Canis lupus familiaris: one gene and its partners. The main gene of each other region encodes a partner of the protein of the gene in region 2 in a complex. Links are inferred from orthologs where the notes say so. Each region holds a gene or a part of one and is shown on either strand. Other genes may lie near its edges. The genes, in order: FGFR1, FGF2 and API5.

Region 1 (7,611 bases), on a different chromosome or scaffold from region 2:
CAAACCCCCTACTGGGCTCCACACTGGATGTGAAACCTACTAAAAAAAATGAGGAAGACCCAATGGGTGAGCAGCTTATAAGGGAGGTTTACACCTATCTTAATCAGGAGCTATAAGGTATAAGGATGAAAGGATAGGCTTGTAGGGGAATAACCCTTTAACCATGGCTAAAGTTCATTTATTCTGCAAATACATGACCTCCTGCTTTTTATTTGGTTGTTAATTTATTCAACCATTCAACAAATATATATTGAATATTTACTCTGGCTAGCCAATAAATAGCTATTGAACTCCTACTATGGGAATGACACTGTGATGGTTACTGTTCTTTCACTTGCTGGTCAAATAGAGAAATAACTTAGACTACTTCCTTAAATTTGGAAGGAGGTTAATCTCATTCAGTATTCCAGCTTCCATAAGATTGAGGGTTTTGTGGGGTAGCAATGAAGTATACGTCCTACCTTCACTTACATACTGACTTTTTAAAAAGATTTTTTAAATTTATTTGAGAGAGAGAGAATGCGCATGAGTGGGAGGGGGCAGAGGGAGTGGGAGAGAATCCCAAGTAGACTCCCCCCTGAGTGTGGGGCTCAATCCCAGACCCTGAGATCCTGACCCTGAGCCTCTGAGCCAGAAGTCAGATGCTTAATGGACTGAGCCACCAAGGCACACTGAGGTAGTAGTCAGGAGTGGGAGAGAATCCCAAGTAGACTCCCCCCTGAGTGTGGGGCTGGATCCCAGACCCTAAGATCCTGACCCTGAGCCCCTGAGCCAGAAGTCAGGTGCTTAACTGACTGAGCCACCAAGGCACACTGAGGTAGTGACTTCTATTTGTGTAATACTTTAGTGTGCTGACATCCATTATTTATTTTTAAGATTTTATTTATTTATTCATAGAGACACACAGAGAGAGAGAGAGAGAGGCAGAGGGAGAAGCAGGCTCCATGCAGACAGCCTGAGGTGGGACTCATCCAGAGTCTCCAGTTTCACGCCCTGGGCTGCATGCAGTTGGCGCTAAACCGCTGCACCACTTATTTTAGTTGATTATCGTGACAAACTTCTGAGAGAGTCTCAATGTAATAGTTAAATAAGTCTTGATTTTTTTTCACATGTATGACTTGTCCAAAATCAAACAGTTCATAAGTAGGGGACCAGAATAGAGGCATCTTTCATACCTAGTGTGACATACTTCTCACCCTACCAATGGCCCCACCCTGGCAACCTGGGAGCCTCAGAAAAAATACAGACTCTTGGCTCCTTTCTGGCACATCTTGATTCCTTAGGTCTGAGTAGGTCCAGGAATTTGTATTTTTTATAAATTTCCCCAGAGAATTTATGTGCATTTGGATTAGGGAGCCGCAAGATTATAGATTATAGTGGCATTTAGACACTCTTCCTCGGGTTCCACAGAACCTTTTCCTCAGGTACTCTGGATGGATTCTGATTAATTTCCAAACCAATAACATGCCCGATTCCCACCACTCACTCTTTGCTTCCTAAAATTCACTGCAGGTTGAAGACTTCTGGAGGCCCAGAATGGTGCTGCAGCATTCGTAGCCCGCACCCCCCCCCCCCCCCCCAACCTCCGCTTCCCGGTAAACCACAAAAACCTAAACTCTGTGGCTGGGAACCGTGAGATGGGAGGGAAGGGTCCGAAGGGGGCGTAGACCTTCTCACGGATAAAATACAGCTTGTATTTATTGACTGTTAACTATGTGGCAGGCCCTCTCTTCATCCTCAACTCTAATGAAAAGCGCTATTATCCCCCCTTTTAGATGAGATGAGAAAACTGAGATTCGGAGCGAGAAGAGTCATTTCCCCAAGGCACGCAGTCAGTGCGACTCCAAGGCCGGTGCTGGCAGGGACACCCTCGGGACCACGGCGTCGCCCCCCCTCCCCCCCCTCCCCCCTCCGCCCCCCGCTCCTGTGTCCGCCGCCTGGACCCCGGGCGCCCAGCGGGCGGGGCTCCGAGGCCAGGCCCGCGCGCCCCGGACTCAGACTGCGGGGAAGCTGCCGCCGAGCGCCGCGCCGCCGAGCCCGCTCCCCGCGGTCGGGGGCCGCGGCTGGAACTACAAGGCCCAGCAGGCAGCAGCAGGGGGAGGAGGCGGGGGTGGGACTAGCGCGGGTGGGAGTGAGCGCGAGCCCTCGCGCCTCGCCGGCGCACAGCGCTCGGAGCGCTCCTGCGGGCACTGGTGCGGCGGCCTGGGCGGCGGGCGGCGGGCGGCGGGCGGCGAGCGGGAGCCCGGAGTCCGGTCCGGCGCGCTGCGGCCGGGGAGCCCGGGCCGTGCCCGAAGCCGGGCGGCGGCGTCCCGACCCGACCCGACCCGACTCCGCTTAGCGCATTGCGGCGACCTCGCCTTCCCCGGCCGCGAGCGCGCGCCGCAGCTGGAAAAGCCGCGGAAACCCAGGACTTTCCGCCGGTGCGAGGGGCGCACAGTCCCAGGGCTGCAGTCGGGCGCGCCGCGGGGCCGGGGCCCCCGCCGGGCGATGGAGCCCGGGCTGCGAGAAGCGTGAGGCGCCGCCGCCCGGTTCTGGAGAGGGGGCCGCAGGGTCTGGAGACCCCGGGCGGCGGACGGGAGCCCTCCCCCCGCCCCGCCTCCGGGGCACCAGCCTCGGCTCCATTGTTCCCGCCCGGGCCGGAGGCGCTGAGCCTCGAGCGCCGGCCGCGGGGCTCTCGCGGCTCCGCCAGGACCCGAGCGGAGCCCGGGGGCGGCGGGCCGGAGCCGGGGCCGCGGGCGCCCGCCCGCCCGCCCGAGCCACGGCGGACTCTCCAGCGGCGGAACCGCAGCGCCGAGTGAGGTAAGAGCCGCGGCGCCCGCAGATCCGGGGCGGGCTTGGCGTCCGAGCGGCCCCCGGCGCTGGAGCCTCCCGGCTGCGTGCTTCCCCGCCGCAGCCCGGGCGAGTCCGGCGCCTCCCTCCGGTCGTTACCCGCTGCCTGCGCCTCCCGACCCCCTCCCCGGCGCTCCGCGCCCCCCTTTTGTCTCCCCTCCCGGCTCGCGTCGCCTCCTGCGCCCCCTCCCCGCGCTCGTCCCGCAGCTCCTCCTGCCGCCCAACTTTTCCGCCAACTCGCGCCGGGGAGCTGGCGAGGCGGCGGCGGCGGCGAGTCCTGGGAGCGACCCGGCCCGGGCGAGGGCGAGGGCGAGGGCGAGGGCGGCGGCGGCCCGCGGTGTCCTCGGACCGAGGTGGGGAGGGCGCGAGCGGGCAGCGGTGGGGGGACTGCGTGTGCGTGTGTGTGCTGCATTCCGGCCCATCTCCTTCTAGTCCGCCAGTGGGGACTCCCCCCAATCCAGCAGGTAGCTGTGCGTGGGACGCTAAAGCCCCGGGGTCTTTCTAAGTCTTCCTCCACCTCGAGGGAAGTCTGGGGTCGCGCTTGGGGGTGGGCGGAGAGGGCCGAGAAGGGGGAAGGAAGAGGAGGGGTAGGTTAGCTTCTCCTGGAATAGGTTTTAAGGAGGTGTCGTCACCAAATGGCTGAATCTGCTATTGCAGAGAGCGAGAAAGGAATTCCCTTTTCCAGAGGGGGTTATCTTCTACTGAGTGGATCTCAGAAAGGGTCGGAAGTTTGTGGAAGGGAGGGCGCCCAGCGGGTGATGTTAAGCCCCATTATGGGGTCGCGGGGGGGGAGGGGAACGTTCGGTTCCAAGCTGGTTCGAGGAGGTGGGGGAAGGGATGAGGGTTTGGCCGGTGCGGTGCACTCGGCCGCGCTGCATGTTGCTTCTCTGGCTCAGACCCTCTGCCCACCCCGCTCCCGCCTCCCGTTATGTGTGGGGTTGGGAACAGAGGAACCCTCGTTTGCAGAGAAATTTATTGACATTGCGGATGGATGGAGTTCGTTGAGCACATAACCTATGAAGGCAGCCAGACCCCCTCGGGCGGGGGTGGCGGGGGTGGTGGTGAAGCTTCCTTCTCCTTTCTGGGCCCAGAAAAAAAAAAAAAATTTCTGCGGTATCTTCCTCCCCTAACACTTTTTCCCCCCATTTTCCAGATGTAGCCGCCGCATCTGGTTTCGTTTCACCCCACACCGCAGCCCCATTAACATTTCCCTCCCTTCCCCCTCACCCACATTAAAACTGGGATCCTTCCACTTGTCCTTACCACCTCCCTCCCTCAACATTTTTTGAGACTGAAGTTGAGGCGTTGGGATTTGCGGAGAAAAGAAAGTTACCCTGGGTCCCAAGTTATTTAGGATCTGAGGGTGGCGGCGCTCTCTCGATAGTGCCGGAAGAAGGCATCGTAGGAGATGGGGCCGGGGGGGGAGGGGGGGGGCTCTAGGGGGGTTGGCACTTGGCGAACGGGGCATGTGCTGGAGGTGGCCTCGTGGGTTGTGATTTGACCCAGAACTGGCTCTGATGGAAGTTTCTGGAACCAGAGCATTGCTTTTTCCGCCCCTTGGGTTGTCGCTGTAGCCGCCGGAGCGTCTGGCCCGGCCCGGCCCGGAGTCGCCGTCGGGTCTCTGGCCACCCGCTGGTGGCCTCCTGCTCGCCTTTCCACCCTCCCCGAGCGAGCCGGGGCGCAGCTGCGGGGGACGCGCGAGGGGCGCGGATGCTCTTGCCGCCGGGGGCTCTCCCTGTGCGTTTGAAGGGAGTTAGTGGGCCGCGGCCCCTGGAAGCTAACGTGGGACAATCTGCTTCTTAACGGCTCCAGGTTTGAAAGCGGGCATTGCATCGTTGGGGGTTCTTGTGGGTTTGTTTTCGGTTTTTGTGTTTTGGTTATATCCTTTGAGGTAGGAAGGCACCTTATGGTCCAAGTTGCGCGAGGGCGGGGAGAGCCGGTCCCTCTCACCCTCTCTTTACCAGTCTCTTTCAAATTGAAAACACTTCTCTGGTTTCCTCCTTTGGGCGGTAGTTTTGGAGGCTGTAATGAAATCGCACTTTCTCTAGACATGGTAATTAAGGTGACTGTTTCCTCCGCAGATGTGCCCTGCCCTTTGCACCTCCGGACCAGAGCTTTTTTTGGAATACCGTCTAAACCGTAGAATCTTAGCCTTGAGACTGTTTAGCAGAAAGTGGCCATTTTTCCTGCTTGGCCCAGGTCCCCGGTTCCATCTCTGAGGCTTTAAAAACTAAGTAGCAGGGCCCCCGGGGGACGAGCCTCTGTCTAGCTAATTACCCCCAAGCCTGGGTCATCTCCCTTCCTTTCAGTGACCAAAGGGGAGACCCATTGCCTTTGGCCTGCCCTGCCCTGATGGCCTGCCTCTCTGATGACTTGTTTACATATTTCCCCCCAGTTGATGGGGAGAGGCTCCAGGGCTGCCACTGACCCCTGGAAGAACACAGGGTGTTTGGGGACTGGGAGGTTGCTGGGGCCTGGCTCCAGCTGGGATGGTTCTGTACTGCATTAGTGACGAGCTCCTTGAAATATCTGTTGCATTCAGTCTTAGTCATCACTAAGTGTCAGCTTTTTAATGAGGGCCATCCGGTGGAAGAGCTGCTTGGCCATGGGTGGCTTTGCTGCCTGCTTTTGACTATGCCTGTACAAATGCCCATTTTGTGGGCATCTTCACAAAATGGGATTTGGCCCAGAGTGGGCACCACTTATTTTGGTTCCAAAGTAGGCAGCCTTGGGTGTTTCTTTTCCTTTGGCCTCTGGCCACGGAGGTTGTTAGAAAGTTCCAATAGAATAGCAAGTGAAGCAAAAGCATAGGAAGAAGTAGAGGAGGAGCATTGCAGATACTGTTATTGTTCATCTGTCTTTAGGGAAATTAGAATACATCCAGGCATCCCTATGCGTGAGCTGGCTTTAGCCTTGTCGGACTCCAGACGGCAGGAAGAGCGCACTGAACATTGAGTAGACAGACTCCAGCCATGGAGACCCAGGGAAAAAGCCATGGGTTTTTGCTTTTAGTTGTGTGCTTTGTGCTTGGGCTGTTGTCCTGAAAAAAATAGACTCCTGAAATAGAAGATTTGCTCCTGTGAGCTTGGGCCGTTAACAGCCAGCTTCTACAGACGCACTCTTCTTGCCTCCATTTTTAAATCTCTTTCATCTAAATGTCTTTTAGGGAAGAGCTTCCTGGTAAAGTTTGCGCCTGTTGCTGCTAGAGGCAAGGGAGGTAGAATTGATTCAAATGTCTTGTTCTGAAAAAAGCCTCATCCCTTGAGATGAGTTTAATTTCCTCTTGGGAAATTTGTCTTGCGTTTGCCTTCCCAAGAGCTATGTCAGAGGTCTGAATGCACCAGAGACTGGTGGGAGTCCAGATGTGGAGCTTTAGAGAAGACTCTGCTGTTTCCAGAGAGGATTTTTTTTTTTTTTTTTTTTTCCAGAGAGGATTAAGTACCACACTTGGGCTAGGATATTCGCTTTTCCCCCTAAGGTTGCATCTACCTGAAGCAGACATTCTCTCCTCACTACCTCTCCAACTCGCAATTAAAGAAGATATATTTGGTCCTCCCCCCCCCCCTCCCCCCCACCAAGTAGATAGCTGTTACCTGAGTGAACAACTCCAAGGATATGATGGTGGTCCACCAGTCCATTTTGTCTTCAAATGCAAGGTTTCCCGGATTATGGTGGAGTAGGTAGTGTTTCACTTATTAATTTTTGGTATAGCTCATTCCCAAGGACATTTGGACACTTTTTTTTTTCAACAAATTAATAAGTCTTCAAAGAAATCAATGTTTTGGTGTTAACTTCCTTAAGTCTGAAGAATCAAAATGTATAGAAGATGTCTCATTTGCAAGAGTATCTGTAAGAGTTTCTTTTCAATTGGCCTTTCTTTCATTCACTTATTCACTTAACAAATCTGTCAGCATCTGCCGTGTACATCTTGGGAACTAAGTGTATTAGTGAAAGTTAGGCACAAACCCTACTTCTTAAGGAGCTTGTGAGCTTTGGAAATTCAGAAGAATGAGATCCTTAGCTAGAAGGCTCAAAGACTTATGGAAGAGATAACTTCCTTTTTTTTTTTTTTTTTTGAGGTGAGATTCAGAGAATAAGAAAGCGGCGCCCCATTAAAGATGGTGGACGAGCAAAGAAGAGGGCAGAGCATGGAGATTGCGTAGGGTCATGCTGGCCCATAGAGATAGAACACATGCCACATGTGGTCTTAGATTTTCTAGTAGCCACGTTTGAAATTAAATAGAAAGAGGTGGAGCTTGCTTCTATTAATTAATTGGTTGAGATTTTAATGATCTATTTGATTTAGCCCCATATATCCAAAATGCTATCATTTGAACATGTAACCAATGTAAAAAATTATTGATAAGATACTTTCCCTTCTTCTTTTTTTTTTTTTTCCACACCAAGGTTTTTTTTTTTGTTTTGTTTTGTTTTGTTTTTTAATGATAGTCACAGAGAGAGAGAGAGAGAGAGGCAGAGACACAGGCAGAGGGAGAAGCAGGCTCCATGCACCGGGAGCCCGACGTGGGATTCGATCCCGGGTCTCCAGGATCGCGCCCCGGGCCAAAGGCAGGCGCTAAACCGCTGCGCCACCCAGGGATCCCCACACCAAGTTTTTGATGCCTGAGGTGTCTGTCCTGTATCTAGCACATCCTGATTCACATTAGCCACATTCCAAGGGCTCAGTAGCCAACAAGTGGCTAGTGAGTGACCACTGCCTGGGACACCTTGGTCTAGAATATAGGGTTTGAAGATGAATAGCAAAAAATACCTTTGTAAAGA
Region 2 (7,100 bases):
TCTCAAAGATTTTCAGGTCAACTGGACAAAACAGTTTGAGGAACAAGATCAGCAATTTTCAACTTTTCAAATAAGTCTGGCTATCTGAGCCATACTTCAGTGGGAAACTGTGGCAACCATGAGCTCTTGCTTTTCTTTCTCGGTGTTTTCTGGTCAGTCTTGTTTGTTTGGGTAATGGAGATGTGGTTGGGAAGATATGGTTATAGCACATCCATAATCATGTTTTTTTCTTGTATCCAAAGAAAGTCTAGCTCTGGTTTGGTCAACTATCAGTACATCTTTGACATGTCAGAAAATATAGTGTATTTAAACTTATGTCCAGGTTGGGCTACACAGAAGTGGTCTAAATTCATCATTTAGGTTTTTATTCTCGTCAGTCTATTACCTGGTAAAAGGTGATTTAAAAAAAAAAATTCAATACCTTCCACAAATCTGGAGAAGTATTCTACTCTTCACTTTTAACATGCTGTCTTTAGCTAGTTATCAAGTAGGCAGGATTCTCAACCTTAGCACTATTAACATTGGGGGTCAGAAATTTTTTAGCTGGGGATAATGGATGTATCCTGTGCATTGTAGGATGGTTAACAGCATCCCTGGCCTCTACCTATTAGGTACTAGTAGCACCCTTCCAAATGTGAACCAAAAATGTCTCTAGGCATTGCCAAACGTTGGGGGTGGTAGGGCAGGGGCAAAATCACCCCTCTGAGAACCAGTGAATTAAAATAAGATTATGAAAAACTCATAGTTAGGAAGAAAAAGTCAACAGCTGTTATTACAAGGGCAGTAGTGTGCTATGGCAATTCAGAATTATCTTCCCACACTAGCCCCTGTACAGTTTTACTCTAAAGGAAAGAGTATCAAAAGCTTCAAAGAAAAAAAATGATGCAGCAATTAAGAAGTGTCTCTAAAAAAAGAAAGTACTAGGGGAAGTCTCAACATGAACCTAATCTGGAGGAGAGTTCTTCTGTCTTCTAATCATAGAACATACCTTTTTTATTTTTATTATTCCTTTTTTTAAAAGATTTTATTTATTTACTCATGAGACACACAGAGAGAAAGAGGCAGAGACACAGGCAGAGAGAGAAGCAGACTCCATGCAGGGAGCACTGGGACTTGATCCCAGAACCCCAGGATCCCACCCTGGGCTGAAGACAGTCGCTCAAGCGCTGAGCCACCCAGGCATCTCTATTTATTTTTAATTACAGACCATTTGTGCTACTAGAAAAGAACAATACTATTTGGGACATATAGGCACCTGGCCCTAATCTGCTGTGCTAACCTAGCAGCCAACTGCAAAATAAACTTCAAACACCAAGTTTAAAACTTAGGTTTGTGAAACCTATTCAAGTTACTAAAATAGAGAAACAGTACTAACACATATTTATTGGGTTACAAGCATCTTTTCAGTTTTACTGGATAATGTGGGTGCTTAATAAAATCCAAAAATTATGGCATGCCTGAAAAAAAATTAAAGACCTGTATCATTTGCTTGTTGCTATTTTGGAATCAATAAATACTCCAGCAATATAAAAGCACATTTCCCATTCGTTTGTCAACTCAGGTTGCTTGAGCTCAGGTCAACTCAGGTGGCCTCTACCTATGGCTCCGCAGGTGTGAATGACAGACATTCCATGAGCAACTTTTGATAAAGAGGTAACTGCTGTGGAGTGGAGCTCTGGACTCCTGCTGGTCTTTTGTCAGGCAAACAGAGGATTGGATTCTTCACCTGAAAAACCACTAAGGAAGGCCAGACACACAGCTTTTAAAACGGATGTTTTACGCTCTCTCACAGGATGACAGTTAAAATATACTGATCCTCTTTCCCTCATTTCAAATTCCATCAGTGCTGTTAATCAGTCCATTTCATGCCCCTTTCCTCCTCTTTTCTATACATCACTGGGTCTCAAAGTGTTGTCCCAGGTCAGCATCACCTGGGAACTATTAGAAATGCAAATCATCAGGCTTCACTCCAGCCTTCAGGAATCAGAAACTCTGGGAGACAAGGTTGGGCAATGGCTATAACCCCCACCCCCCAAGTGATTCTAACGTACCCCTCAAGTTTGAGAACCAATGACTGTAGGCTAGTGTTACTTCTATACCACAAATGGATTGTTTTTTACTGAACACAAAAGTGTACAGTAGTAAACCGAGTCCTCTGCGCACTTGGGAGAAATTCTCATCTGATCCTCAAACCTGATGCAAGGTAGACATTATCCCCACTTTAAGAATGAAGAACCTGGCTCAAGGTCCCGAAACTAATAACTGCAGGTGGAAGATTAAAGTTTTTGCAGTTCTTGTCACTATTAAAAGAAAAGTGTGTCACACTTTATTAACAAAGTCTATATCTTTTTTTTTTTTTTCAAAGTCTTATCTTTTGCCCTGAAAGCTTTCGGTAATTGGGAAAAAGGGGGAGGGGGGGGGGAGAGAGGAGAGGCTGTCCAGGAAGGGTTCCATCAATGGTGAGCACCAGCCTCAATGCAGAAGCGCTCCAGTATCTCCAAGGATACATTCAGGCGGCCAGTGTGACACTGCTTTGAACAGCACTTTCCAGATTGGCTAAGCCCACGATGGTTTCTGAGGAAATCACATAGATATCTGAGCATTAAAGCATTAAAGCAAGTTTTCCTTTTGAACTTGTCACAAATTCCATCTTGTAAAGAATATTAAATGTTGCTTTAAGCTTTTCCTTGGAAGGGAAGGGAAGGGAAGGGAAGGGAAGGGAAGGGAAAAGGTAAGGGAAGGAAAAGGAAGGGAAGGAAAGAAGTGAAAGGCACTGACACTGTCAGACGTCCATTCATTCCCACGACCCCATCCCTCCACTTCCGTTCCGTTCTGTCCGTCATCGCCGTCCTTCCTCCGGCCTCACTCCGTCCTTCCTTTCCCCCCCACTCTCCTTTTCCTTTTCCCTCCCCCTCCCTCCCTTTCCTCTGTCCCTCCCTCCCTCCCTCCCTCCCTCACTCCCTCCCTCCCTCCTCCTCCTCCCTCCCTCCCTCCCTCCCTCCCTCCCCTTTCCTTCCCCTCTCCCCTCCCCTTTTCCTGCCCCCCCCCCCTACGAAAATGCGATCCCTAAAAACACGACAAAGGACTGAAGAGAAAAGGGACGAGATGGGTGAGAGCAGTGTGCCAGCTGGCTCGGATCCTACCAAATCGGAGTTTAAGGGCACGACTCTGGGAAGGTATTTTTCCAATAAAGAGCATTTATTCCGCTTGGGTCCCTCCTGCTTGGGCTCCCGGGCCCGGGGCGCGCAGGGCGAGCCCGCCCACCTCCCCGCTCACCTCCCCGCCCACCTCCCCGCCGCTGGGCATCCCCGCGGCAACAGGTGGTCCGCGCGGGGGGGGGGGGGGGCGGCGAGGCCCGGGTCTACCCGGGGACCTGGCACAGCCCGGAGCCTGGGGAAGCGCCTAACCCGACGCCGCAGCTCCGGCGAGGAGGGGGCGAGCGGTGAACCCGAAACCGCGAGGGCCGCGCGGAAAGGAACCACACGTCCCGCTGCGGTCGGAGGGAAGGGAAGGAAGCGGCGGGAATGGGGCGGCGGGGGGACCGCAGGGAGCGCGGGGAAGGGCGGGCCGGCACTCACCGTGGGGATCGCTCTTCTCCCGGACCCCGTCCACCCGGCCGTCGGGGTGGATCCGCAGGAAGAAGCCCCCGTTTTTGCAGTACAGCCTCTTGGGGTCCTTGAAGTGGCCGGGCGGGAAGGCGCCGCTGCCGCCGTCCTCCGGCAGGGCGGGCAGCGTGGTGATGCTCCCGGCTGCCATGGCGCCCCCGGGGCTCTGCCGGGGTGTCCGCGCCCCCGGAGCCGCGCGAGGAGCCGCCGCCGCCCCCCGGCCCCGGCCCCCGACCCGGTCCGGGGCGCGGCCACGGCCCCGGCCCCCCAGCCTCCCGCCCGGCAGCGCGCGGCCGCGCCCGCGGGCCCCCAGCCTCGCGCCGCCCGGCCGCTCCCCTCGCCGGCTGCCCTGGGGAGCTGCGCGCGGGCCGGGATGCTGCGCTCGGGCTCGGGCTCGGGCTCGGGGAGCTGCGCCCGGGGCCGGGGAGCTGAGCACGGTCTCGAGGCCGGGGAGCTGCGCTCGGGCTCGGGGAGCTGCGCTCGGGGCCGGGGCCGGGGCCGGGCGTGTCCGCGGCCGCCGCTCGCGGGAGGGCCGCCTCCCCTAGCGCAGCGCCGGCACCAGCAGCCAGCCCCGGGCACCGCGTCGGCCGTCTGGCAGCGGCCGGGCCGCGGCGTCACATCTTCTACATCCCCACCCCCGAAGGCCCCCCGCCCCCCCGCGCCCCCGCTCTCCTCCCTTCCTGCGCGCCGCCCCCTCCTCGCTCCGGGCTCCGTGGGGCCGGCCTCTGGGTCGGGAGCCGCGGCCGCAGCACGCAAGCGCGCGACAGGAGGGGTGGGGGGGGCGAGCGCAGGGGGCGGGGAGGTGCGGAGGGCGAGCGGGGGGGCGGCCGCGGAGGCCGCCGCGGCTCTGGGACTCGACCCCGCGAAATTCCCCCGAGGTCGCGCCAGCCGGGGCGCACGGGGTCCGTCTCCGCGCTGCGGAGCTTTGGCTGTGCCACCCGCCGTGACTCTACTTTGAAACGTTTAAAGGCAACTTTCTCCCCCCCCCTTCTTTTTCCTTGTCAGCGATTCAAAGCCAAGAAACGATTTCCACTCCCCCCCCCCCGAAGTAAAGGAATCGGAAATGGGGGGGGGGTGATTCTGTGCCCCGTGTGGGTTTTGAACACCTCTGATCTCCAGAAGGGGCCTGCGTGGGGCGCACACCGGTAAACTTGAAGGCGAGGCTGAAATCTTTGACTAACAAAAGGAAAGAAAGAGGCCAGAGGAGGGGAGCAGACCGCATTGCTGGGAGTAAAAGGTTTTCCTTCTACCACCCTGGCTTGAAGTAGACGACGTGGAAAGACGAGGAGAGGCCTCAACCCCTTCTGTGATGGAAGGGTGCTGCTGTCTTACTCCGAAGCTGGCACTAGCCTTGGCGAAATGGCTAGGTGTTCCTAGGAGGGAGGGTAGTTTTCTGAGAATCCCAAACTACAAAATTGAAGTTAATTGGATTTGGGTAATTTTCAGTAGAATAGAACAAGTACTACGGATTAGTCAAATATTCATCCAGAAAGTTTCTTAGTCTCAAGTGTCTACTATATGCAAAGCATTTGCCTAAGTTCAGTGGGAGGTGCTGGATCCCACAGGACCTCCGGACAGAGGTGCGATCCATGGGCAGGATGAACACCACAAAATGCCCCTAGAAGAGTAAAATGAGGTGGTGGTGTAAGATGTCAGACAAGGGGTAATTCAGTTTTGGGGGTACAATGGGATTAGAGAAAGCCTCTAGGAATATGTGAGAATACCTCTATTTAGAAAGATGTTTGGTTTCAAAAGATCAGCGCATCAAAAGTATCTGCTCTAAGTCTCCATGAGAGGTTTAATGCATGTAGAGTAAATCTACATGCATTTCTATGTTGGTAAATAGAAGACTGGAGCTTTAAAACCAAGCATACTCTTCTCTGGGCTGGTATATGTTCTCTGACCTCTCCAAAATGGACCGGTTTTATCTGCACTGCTTATCTGTTAAAACAAATAATCCCTTCCAGGGATCCCTGGGTGGCTCAACGGTTTAGCGCCTGCCTTTGGCCCAGGGCACGATCCTGGAGTCGCAGGATCGAGTCGCGCCTCACGCCTGCTTCTCCCTTCTCCTGTGTCTTTGTCTCTCTCTCTATATATATATTATAAATAAATAAATCTGAAAATAATAATAATAATCCCTTCCGGATGATCTCTGTAGGTATCCTAGGGAATGCTTACTGGTACTATAGCACTCATCAGATTGCCACTTACTTTGTAAGAAAGTAGATTTGAATAAGCCTTGAACTCTGTCAGAGAAAGCAGAGTATTCCAAGAGCAAAGGGATAAAATCTAAATCAAAACATTTTTTTAACAGTAGTATCCAGAAATCTGAGGAACAGCTACATGCAGTCAAGTAATTTGTATGCTGATGGACTGTGGATCTCAAGGAACTTCATTACATGTACAATAACCCCTTGTTTCCTAGTCCTTCCAAATCCAGGAGAGGAGATATCATAGGAAATGGTTAATCCAGTTCTGGGAATCTAGGTTTCCAAGATAAATAGTGTTAATTCCAAGAAGACATCCTTAAGATAGTTGTCTCAAGTTCCTACCCAGCCCCCTCCCAACACACACTTGTACACATGCAGAGATAGACACACTATTCTTAGATGCAATCAATTTGTTCTTACTGGAACTATGAGTGGTCAAGTTACTTACATTCTCAATTTACCCAGCTATAAGGATGAATATAAAAATAAATGTAAGACAACGGGTACAAAACTCATTATTTTTAAAAACCACTAAGTTCCAGTGATAACTATTTAAAAACTTTTACAAAGGAAAGAGAAATTTATCTCACCATTCCAAGATAAATTGCTTTGAAATTAAGAATTGTTCAGAATCCAAATGATGAAAAACACAAAGATTTAATGAGAGTTAAAAAAAAAGCCAGATGTTCCTGGATGGAAACATAGTAAAATACAAATGTAAGATTCCTCTCACCATGTTTTAAAAATTTAAAACCATACTAGTTTAAATTGTAGCACAGTTTTCAAAACTATACAAGAGTATTGTAAAATTCATTTAGATAAATAAGCATAAGAATAGCATATACTTTTTTTAATTGTAGGGAAAAATGTGAATGACTTTTGAAAGGATTAAAAAGATTATAAAATATCTTCAATGGGGGAGGATCCCTGGGTGGCTCAGCGGTTTAGCACCTGCCTTTGGCCCAGGGCGTGATCCTGGAGTCCTGGGATCGAGTCCCGCGTCCGGCTCCCAGCATGGAGCCTGTGTCTCTGCCCCTCTCTCTCTCTGTCTATCATAAATAAATAAATAAATCTTAAAAAAAAAATCTTCAATGGAAAATTAGGCATCATCTAGGTATCTGATTCTATGGAATCTCTATACTTTTCATTGAGCAACTTTACAACTTAGCTTTACATACTGTAGCTAACTGTCGTGGACCGAATTGTGTCCCTATTTCTTCCTGATTCCTATATTGAAGCTCTAACCTCCAATATGAGTATATTTGGAGATAGGGCCTTTTAAGGA
Region 3 (7,721 bases), on a different chromosome or scaffold from region 2:
AGAGGGAGAAGCAGGCTCCACGCAGGGAGCCCGAAGTGGGACTCGATCCCGGGACTCCAGGGTCACGCCCTGGGCTGAAGGCGGCGCTAAACTGCGGAGCCACCCAGGCTGCCCCTAAAAGTCACCCATTTCTCAGACTTTGTGGTAATGAAAAATGGGAAGCAACCCATATGCCCCTAAAGAAACAGATAAATAAACTGTGATACCTCAATAGTAGGCACTACTGTCATGGGGAGATCTACAAAACACATGCTAAGTAACCAAAACCAGGCACAGAACAAAATGTGCAATGTGCTACTGTTTACTTATATTTATTTAAAACTATATATTGCATATAAAGGCCTATAAAAATATAAACCCTACTGGTGGCCATAGTTCTCTCTAGAGAAGAGAGATATGAAGATGAACTTTTCGTTTTAATGGGAAATATTTTGTATTATTTGAATGTATTAGGACAGTACCCTATTCTTAATACTACTTTAATTAAAGGAAAAAGTCAAAATTATGAAAAGTAGAGTCAGCTGAGACTGGAAACAGGGAAGCTTTTTTTATTGAGACCGTTCATTTGAGAGAGAGAGAGAGAGAGAGAGAGAGAGGTAGCAAGAGCAAGCATGAGCCAGGTGTGGGGGTTGGGGGGGATGGAGATGCAGCTCCTGGGAGATCCCAGGACCCCGGGATCATGACCCAAACCGAGGGCAACGCTTCACCCAGAGCCCCCCAGGCGCCCCACAAGGAAATCTTTAAAGAACTGTGACCACCACGCAACCCTGAGGCGATGGGGCCTGACCTGGGGTAGAAGGAAGGGTGACGAAGAGACAAATGTGTGACAGATTCGGGAGCAGACTTGGGACTTGTGCTTGATTGGATGTAGTGGGATGGACGGGGCTGGGGCAGGGGTGAGAGGCGGCGGGATGGGGCCGGGGCAGGGGTGAGAAGCAGGGGGACGGGGCTGGGGCAGGGGTGAGAGGCGGCGGGTGCACACTGGGGAGGGCCAGGAGACCCTGTGCTTCCCTAATGGAGAGCGCAGCCCCGGGGCGGCTGGGGTTGGGGGGGGCACCTGCGTGCATCCCTCCGGGTCGCAGTCCGTCTGGACTGGAGGTGGCACGGGGGTTCCTGCCCACGGAGCTCTATGAATCCGCTCGGTAGCCTGCCGGAGCTGGTCCTGGCTAAGCACAGCTTGGTTATTATGAGACGAGTCATTAGTACCCACCCCCCACCTCCCCACCTCCCACCCCCACCCCCCGGCCCAGCCCGGGCCTTGGCTCCCGTGAGTAGCCGGAGATGGAGCGAGCTGTAAATGGTGTAAGGCGGGGATCCCTGGGTGGCGCAGCGGTTTAGCGCCTGCCTTTGGCCCAGGGCGCGATCCTGGAGACCCGGGCATGGAGCCTGCTTCTCCCTCTGCCTATGTCTCTGCCTCTCTCTCTCTCTCTCTCTCTCTCTCTCTCTCTCTCCGTGTGTGATATCAAAAATAAATAAAAATTCTTAAAAAGAAAAAAAATGGTGTAAGGCTTCTCCAGAAGAGAGTCCGCGAGGAGTGAGAACTTCAGCGGCCCGATGCCCATGCTCACGGACAGACAGACACCGAGGACGCAGGGCGTGCTGCTCAATAAAGCTACCTGCAAAGTCAGGGAAGATTAGGTTTGAAGGAGAGGCTCCAGGGCTCAGCGATGGAGCGTCCACCTTGGGCTCAGGGTGACCCCTGGTCCCGGATCGAGTCCCTCATCCAGCTCCCCGCCAGGAGCCTGCTCTCCCTCTGCTTGTCTCTCTATGTCTATCATGAATAAATAAATAGAATTTTTAGAAAAAGACAGTCCTCAGCTCAGAAATGAAACTGCCCATGCCAACGTGTGAACCCTCAGGCCAAATTTGATTTGCAATCAGGTCTCTGCTCCAGCTGGGACCTCCTTCCTGTCCTGCCCCTCTGCCCCGCATCCCTAGCTTTGGAAGGCGTCTCTGAGCCCTCCCGGGCACTAGGGGAGCCAGGAGAGGGGACATTAGTACCCAAGAAGGGCTTGGGGGCGCCTGGGTGGCTCCGGGGTTCAGCGGCTGCCCTCTGTTCAGGTGGCGATCCTGAGGTCCTGGAGGGAGACTGAGTCAGGCTCCCTGTGCTCCTCCCCCGCCTGCACGGGGCGCGCGCGCTCTCTCTCTCTCTCCACCGGGCCCCACTCCAGACATTGATAGAAACCAGGTCTCAGGCCTGGGCCGCCGTGTGGACCTCCAGGAGGGGCTGATTCACTGTCCTCCATCACCGCCTTGTCCCTGCTGCCCTTGACCCTTGTCACGGGGCTTTGTCACTCTCAGGCAGAAGGTCCCTGGGGTGGGCCTCTGGATGGCCCTTCACCTCCCAGCCGCAGGGCCCGCCCCCTGGCTCCCGCAGCAGCTCGGGATGCAGGTCGGTCCCCAGGTCCCCACCTCCTCCCTGCGGCCCCAGGGGAGCCAGACTTGCTCAGCACGCCTTCAGCAGCAGGCTTGGCATCTCCGGCCACCGGCATTGGAGTCCTCCAAAGGGAGTTTGGAGTCCTCCAAAGGGACCCAGGCTCAGGGGACAGAGAGAGCCGGGCCCTCGGCAGCCCACGTCTCTAAGCACATCTGTCAGAAACAAAACCGAGCCAAACCTCAGCAATTCCTCCTTGTGCGCCCTTTTTATATTTATTTTATTTATTTATTTATTTATTTATTTATTTATTATATTTTATATCCATTTATTATTAGTTTGTTTATTTCTTTATATTTCATATTTCATATTTATTATTTACTTATTTTAATATTCTTTTTTTAGCAGATTTTATTTATTTATTCGTGAGAGACACAGAGGCACAGACCCAGGCAGAGGAGGGAGCACTCGAGGCGGGACTCGATCCCTGGACCCGGGGTCACGCCCTGAGCGTTGGGCCGATGCTCCGCCGCTGAGCGCCCCCGGGGCGCCCCCGCGGTGACGATCCTCGTGTGAGCCCAAGTGTTTGCTGACCACTGCGGGAGCGTGCTCTGCACACAGTGAGCTGGCTCGCCCTCTGCGGCTCCCCGCTGGAACCGTCCCAGCCGCCTTCGTGGACCACGAGCCGACTTGCATCCCGGGGTCGCCCTCCGCGCCGCCGGGAGCCCCGCCCCCCGCTCCCCGCTCCCCGCTCCCCGCTCCCAGGAGCCCGCGCGGCTGGAGCCGCCGCCGCCCTTTGCACCGCCGGGCGGCAGGGGGCGCTCGCGGCCCCGGCGGCGCGCCGTCCGCCCGTGGAGGCCGCTCCCTGCGCGCCGCGCGCTCCGCAGACGTGGGGGGCGGGGCCGGGCTGAGCGCGGTGACCGGCGGCGGCCCTGGCGGCGGCGGGAGGTGTGAGGGTGCGGGTCGCGGGCTCGGACGGCGGCGGCGGCGGCGAGCGCGACGACAGCGCGACGGGCCCGGGCTTGGCGCTCAGCATGCCGAGCGTGGAGGAGCTTTACCGCAACTACGGCATCCTGGCCGACGCCACGGAGCAAGTGGGCCAGGTGGGTCCCCGCGGCCTGCAGGGCCCGGCGCCCGCGGCCTCCGGCGGCGCCCCCAGGCCCGGCCCCCGCTCCCGCCCCCCGCCGCGCCCCCCGCTGCTCCCCGCGCAGCCCCGCCCTTGGCCAGCCAACCGGGAGCTCTCGGGCCGCGACACGGCGAAGCAACAGCGGCCCTGCGCGGGTTGGGAGAAGCGGGAGCGGGGCGCGGGCTGAGGCCTGGAGAGTTCCCCGGGCGCCCCTGGGTCGGGCCCTGGGGGGGGATGGGGGATGGGTGCTGGGGGGCCCCCCCGGGAAGGGGTGAGTGAGGAGGGTGCGGAAGATGGGTGCCCCCCCGGGAAGTGGTGAACGAGGGTGGGTGTCCCCCGGAAGGTGGTGAATAGGAAGGATGGGTGCTCCCCCAGGAAGTAATAAGAAAGATGGGTGCCCCCCTTCCCCCTGGAAAGTGATAAATAAGAAGGATGGGTGCCCCCCAGGAAGTGGTGAACGAGGATGGGTGCCCCCCGGAAGGTGGTGAATAAGAAGGATGGGTGCCTCCCTTACGCCCGGGAAGTGATAAATAAGAAGGATGGGCGCCCCCCCTCCCGAAAGTGTTGTGCAGGAGACAGACCGGTGGGGCAGGGGGGGACAGGCAGCTGTAAACAACCGCCGCAGGAGCCCCCCGCAGTGTGTCCTCAAGACACAGTTTGAGCGTGGGCTCAAACTTGGGCTCCTTTGCGAGTTTTCAGGGACCCCAGTCCACTGAACTTACGGAGTTGGGAGGGGGGCGTGTTTTGGTGGAGAAGAAGCGGCTCCCCCAGAAGCGCGGCTGATCAGTGTTGTTAGAGATCTTAGGCCGCGTCTTCTCGGTGCTTAGAACCCCGTGTGATTCCCCTGCTCCTCTGTCGGCCGAGTGGGAAGTGGCAGGTCCTGTCGTTGGCCCGGCCCTCCCGGCCCCCTTTTTCTGGACACGCGTAATTCAGGTAAATTCTTTTTGAGCCAAACACCACCACCGGAATTGGGATGTCGGGGCCTTCCTTAAGCTTCCCCCAGAGTTGCAGATTCACCAGCGTAAAGTACCAGGCTACTTTCCTCCCCTGTATATTTCCATCTGTTAGGGAAGTTTGAAGACGTCAGTGAGAAATGTACCGAGGGCGTGTTGTAGGATGTAGGACAGGTGAGTGTAGGTCAGCCCCCAGGGAGGAATTTTCGGCCCAGTAAGACAAGGTTAGAAAACCCATCATCAGTCATATTTTGATCTTGTCGTTGTTGTCCCTAGCAAGATTTAGTAGTGAAGGTATTCTCCTTCATCGTGATAGAGTTGAGGAAGATTGTGGCAAATTATTCCTGAAATTGACTTTACCGCGGATCAGCTGAGGAGATAGGTAGAAGCTAGAACAGTGATTCTCAGTTTGTGGATATGCCTCCCAAAGACGTACGTCAGGAATTTTTTAGGGAAACTAGAAGCAGTAAACATGGTCATGTCCCATACCTGCGCCCTCACTTTGTGCTGTATAGTAAAAAAAAGTTGACAGCCACCTACTTAGAGTCTTAGGGCAAACAGAATCCAAACTAGAATTTCACAGATCCGTCCTGAATACTTGAGAGTGGCTGACGTTTTCCTTTTAGTGTCATCTTTAATCTTAAATACCAGGTAAGAGTGAGAGTTCTCCCTCAAGACGTTCAAGAAACGTCTTTTTCAAGGCATAAATCTGCTTTCAATTTGGAAAGAGCGTTTAAGAGACATGTTTGTAAAAAAAAAAAAAAAAAAACGAAGAGGGTCTTTTTCATTCAGGCTTCAGTGAAGACCCACGGTTTCATTTATTCAGTACATTCTTTGAGCGCCTACCGCGTGCTAAACACTGTGCTAGTTGCTAAAATTTTAGCACGATTCCTTAGCAGGATGTTAGATCGGCACCTTCACGACACTGCAATGACAGCTGTCAGGCAACTGTTTGAGACGAAAAGACCTGTGCGTAATGAAGTGCAGGGACTTGTCAGCCTCAGACAGTGAATTCTGCGAGGACTGAAGCTGGCCAAATTGTAGTGGCTACTAATTCTGCCCTATTGTGGAATAACTTTTCCTTTTTTAGAGAAAAATCCTAAAACGCATATTGAAAAAGATAGTGGGTTTCAGGATATTGCATGTGAATTTTAACTAAAAGCAAGAGCCAACTTAATGGAAGGAACGCCCCTGATGATTTTTTAATGAGAGTTTACATTCTTAGTGTACCAAACCCTGATTTTCATTTAACTTACAAGGTTTACAGTCAAGGGTCATTTCTTGGCAGGTACCTATCTGAACATTTCGGAGACCATATTTGAATTTTTAGTCTAGAACTTCTAATGTTTATTTTTATCCTTTGTCAAAGAGCTAAGTACCAAGTTGCTCGTGCTGCTGCCATGAAGGGAGTGCCCTCTTCGCTACTGTCAATACTCCTTTGAGAATAATGCTTTTGGAATATATTAGGAAAAACACAAGTTCTCCGAGGTTTATCGGCAAATTTTCCTCAAACAGATCAGATCTTTCTCTGGATGAACCTCCTTGGCGCTGTGAATTCATTTATAATACTTGAGACTTGTATTTTATTTCCCTGAGGACTTTTCTTATCCCCTTACTAAATTATAAAGTCTTGAGGTTAAGACTTATTTTTTGTCTCTCTCCTCACACTGTGCCTTGTTTTTCAGTAGACATTTTTTTCTTTAAAGTAGAAGTACATTCAGAGAAAGAGGAAGTATAATTATATTAATAATAAAGTTAATAATTACACAACTAATGTAATGTGCTATATAATAAATCCTACATCAATGTAATTACTGTGTGTACATAATGTAAATGAAGATGAGAACTTTATACGCTCACATCATATATTTAAAGCATGAGTGTGTTTTCTAATAAGCAAACATCAAGTGATAAATTCTAACTGAAGCATAATACAGTGCCTCAAAACCTTCCAGTCTCCCTGTCGTCTTCCCTCCTGTAGCTCCTATTTTCCACCTACCGTTCAGCTCCCCTTCCCCCTACTTGGGTTCTGCTTCTGTTTCCTCAGTTTTCCTTCCTCCGCTGTGTGTTCCTTTACTCCCCAACCCCCTTCCCACTGTACTCTGCCTAGAGCACCCAAATGGCCATAATAGAGCAAGCTGTGGTCCACTATTTACATTTGTTTCTAATTTTTGTGAATTTATTTAATTTTTAAATTTAGATATATTTAGTTTTGTATTATGCAGTTAAATTTTTTTTTAAGTTAAAAAAAGAAAAGAGCCAAACCCCTGTGAAGGGACTGGGGCAGTTAGGCTGAGCTAAGCTCAGTAATGCCTGAACTCCCAAATTCTCCTTTGTTCTCTTACCTGGGAGTATACTGGCTCTTCACGGAAGACTGTAGGCTTGATGGACTTCTATAAGTTCATGAAATAGCACTCTTGGTGCCTTTTTTTGCATGGTTAGCTAAAATCACAGACCAGCCAAGTTGGTAATCTCTGAAAAATAAGTAAAAGTGTTGTTGTCAATAATGTAATAATATTGGATGGTGACAGATGGCAACTACACTTAATTGTAGCGAGCACTGAGTAATATGTAGGACTGTCCGATCACTATGTTGTACATCTGTATGTCAGCCACATTACATACAAACTAGGTTTATTGAGTTAAGAAAGTAGTAAATAAAGCTTGCGTTATCTGTTTTCTTTTTATGTGATACTTGAGAAATATGTTGAAACTACATTGTTCCTTCTCTGAAATAATTGTTTAGGGGCGCCTGGTGGTGCAGTTGGTTAAGCAGCCAGCTCTTGGTTTCGGCTCAGGTCATGGTCTTCAGGTTGTGAGATCCAGGCCCTTGCAGCACTCTGCTGGGCAGAGTCTGCTTGAGAGTCTCCCTCTCCTCCTGCTCCTCCCACTCCAGCTCACGAGCGTGCCCCCTCCCCCCTCAAATAAATAAATCTTAATAGAGAAAACAGTTGTTTATTTCTTAGAAGCTGCATCCTGGTCTCAAACATGGCTTTACCTGGCATGTCACTGATCACTTAAATATATTGGTTGTGTTTTGACAATCCCTGTCACAAATTTTTTTATTGTAGAAATCTGCTGAACGTGGATCTTACCGTAGCTTTTTACTTGAAAATATTTTAGTGATTTCTTTAGAGTTTGCTTTGTAAATTTGCTGTTAAAAACACACACAAATATGTAGTTTCAGGATGCATGAAAATATTTACAACTAAAACTTATTAGGATCACAAATCTATCTAGCTGAAATATACTGTTGTAGGAGAAAATA

The links.
Region 1: the proteins of FGF2 (region 2) and FGFR1 are in contact, whole or in part, in a crystal structure (PDB 1CVS), measured with the Homo sapiens proteins. The link is inferred for Canis lupus familiaris from reciprocal best matches to the Homo sapiens genes FGF2 and FGFR1. Residues at the interface, in NP_001997.5 of Homo sapiens: His158, Phe159, Lys160, Lys163, Tyr166, Gly170, Phe173, Arg186, Lys188, Leu197, Gln198, Ala199, Glu200, Glu201, Arg202, Gly203, Val205, Ser206, Tyr215, Val230, Glu238, Leu240, Asn243, Asn244, Tyr245, Asn246, Leu282, Pro283, Met284; in NP_075598.2 of Homo sapiens: Glu162, Lys163, Leu165, His166, Ala167, Val168, Pro169, Ala170, Asp246, Val248, Arg250, Ser251, Pro252, Val279, Ser281, Asp282, Pro283, Gln284, Pro285, His286, Ile287, Ala314, Gly315, Val316, Thr319, Asp320, Glu324, Gly344, Asn345, Ser346.
Region 3: the proteins of FGF2 (region 2) and API5 are in contact, whole or in part, in a crystal structure (PDB 6L4O), measured with the Homo sapiens proteins. The link is inferred for Canis lupus familiaris from reciprocal best matches to the Homo sapiens genes FGF2 and API5. Residues at the interface, in NP_001997.5 of Homo sapiens: Asn169, Arg181, Arg223, Lys261, Arg262, Thr263, Gln265, Lys267, Lys271, Lys277, Ala278; in NP_001136402.1 of Homo sapiens: Asp145, Arg148, Glu184, Asp185, Val186, Thr187, Glu190, Glu219, Asp222, Gln225, Asn228, Asp231, Arg237.

Annotation. Positions count from the first base shown.
Region 1 is NC_049237.1:27,764,916-27,772,526, forward strand, and holds the start of FGFR1 (fibroblast growth factor receptor 1), read left to right. Parts: upstream 1-2,710; 5' UTR 2,711-2,799; intron 2,800-3,164; exon of another isoform or gene 3,165-3,182; intron 3,183-3,183; exon of another isoform or gene 3,184-3,293; intron 3,294-4,407; exon of another isoform or gene 4,408-4,641; intron 4,642-7,611. UniProt on the Homo sapiens protein: Tyrosine-protein kinase that acts as a cell-surface receptor for fibroblast growth factors and plays an essential role in the regulation of embryonic development, cell proliferation, differentiation and migration.
Region 2 is NC_049240.1:18,278,727-18,285,826, forward strand, and holds part of FGF2 (fibroblast growth factor 2), read right to left. Parts: intron 4,147-7,100; coding exon 3,579-4,146; intron 1-3,578. UniProt on the Homo sapiens protein: Acts as a ligand for FGFR1, FGFR2, FGFR3 and FGFR4. Also acts as an integrin ligand which is required for FGF2 signaling. Binds to integrin ITGAV:ITGB3.
Region 3 is NC_049239.1:26,743,338-26,751,058, reverse strand, and holds the start of API5 (apoptosis inhibitor 5), read left to right. Parts: upstream 1-3,303; 5' UTR 3,304-3,408; coding exon 3,409-3,477; intron 3,478-7,721. UniProt on the Homo sapiens protein: Antiapoptotic factor that may have a role in protein assembly. Negatively regulates ACIN1. By binding to ACIN1, it suppresses ACIN1 cleavage from CASP3 and ACIN1-mediated DNA fragmentation. Also known to efficiently suppress E2F1-induced apoptosis.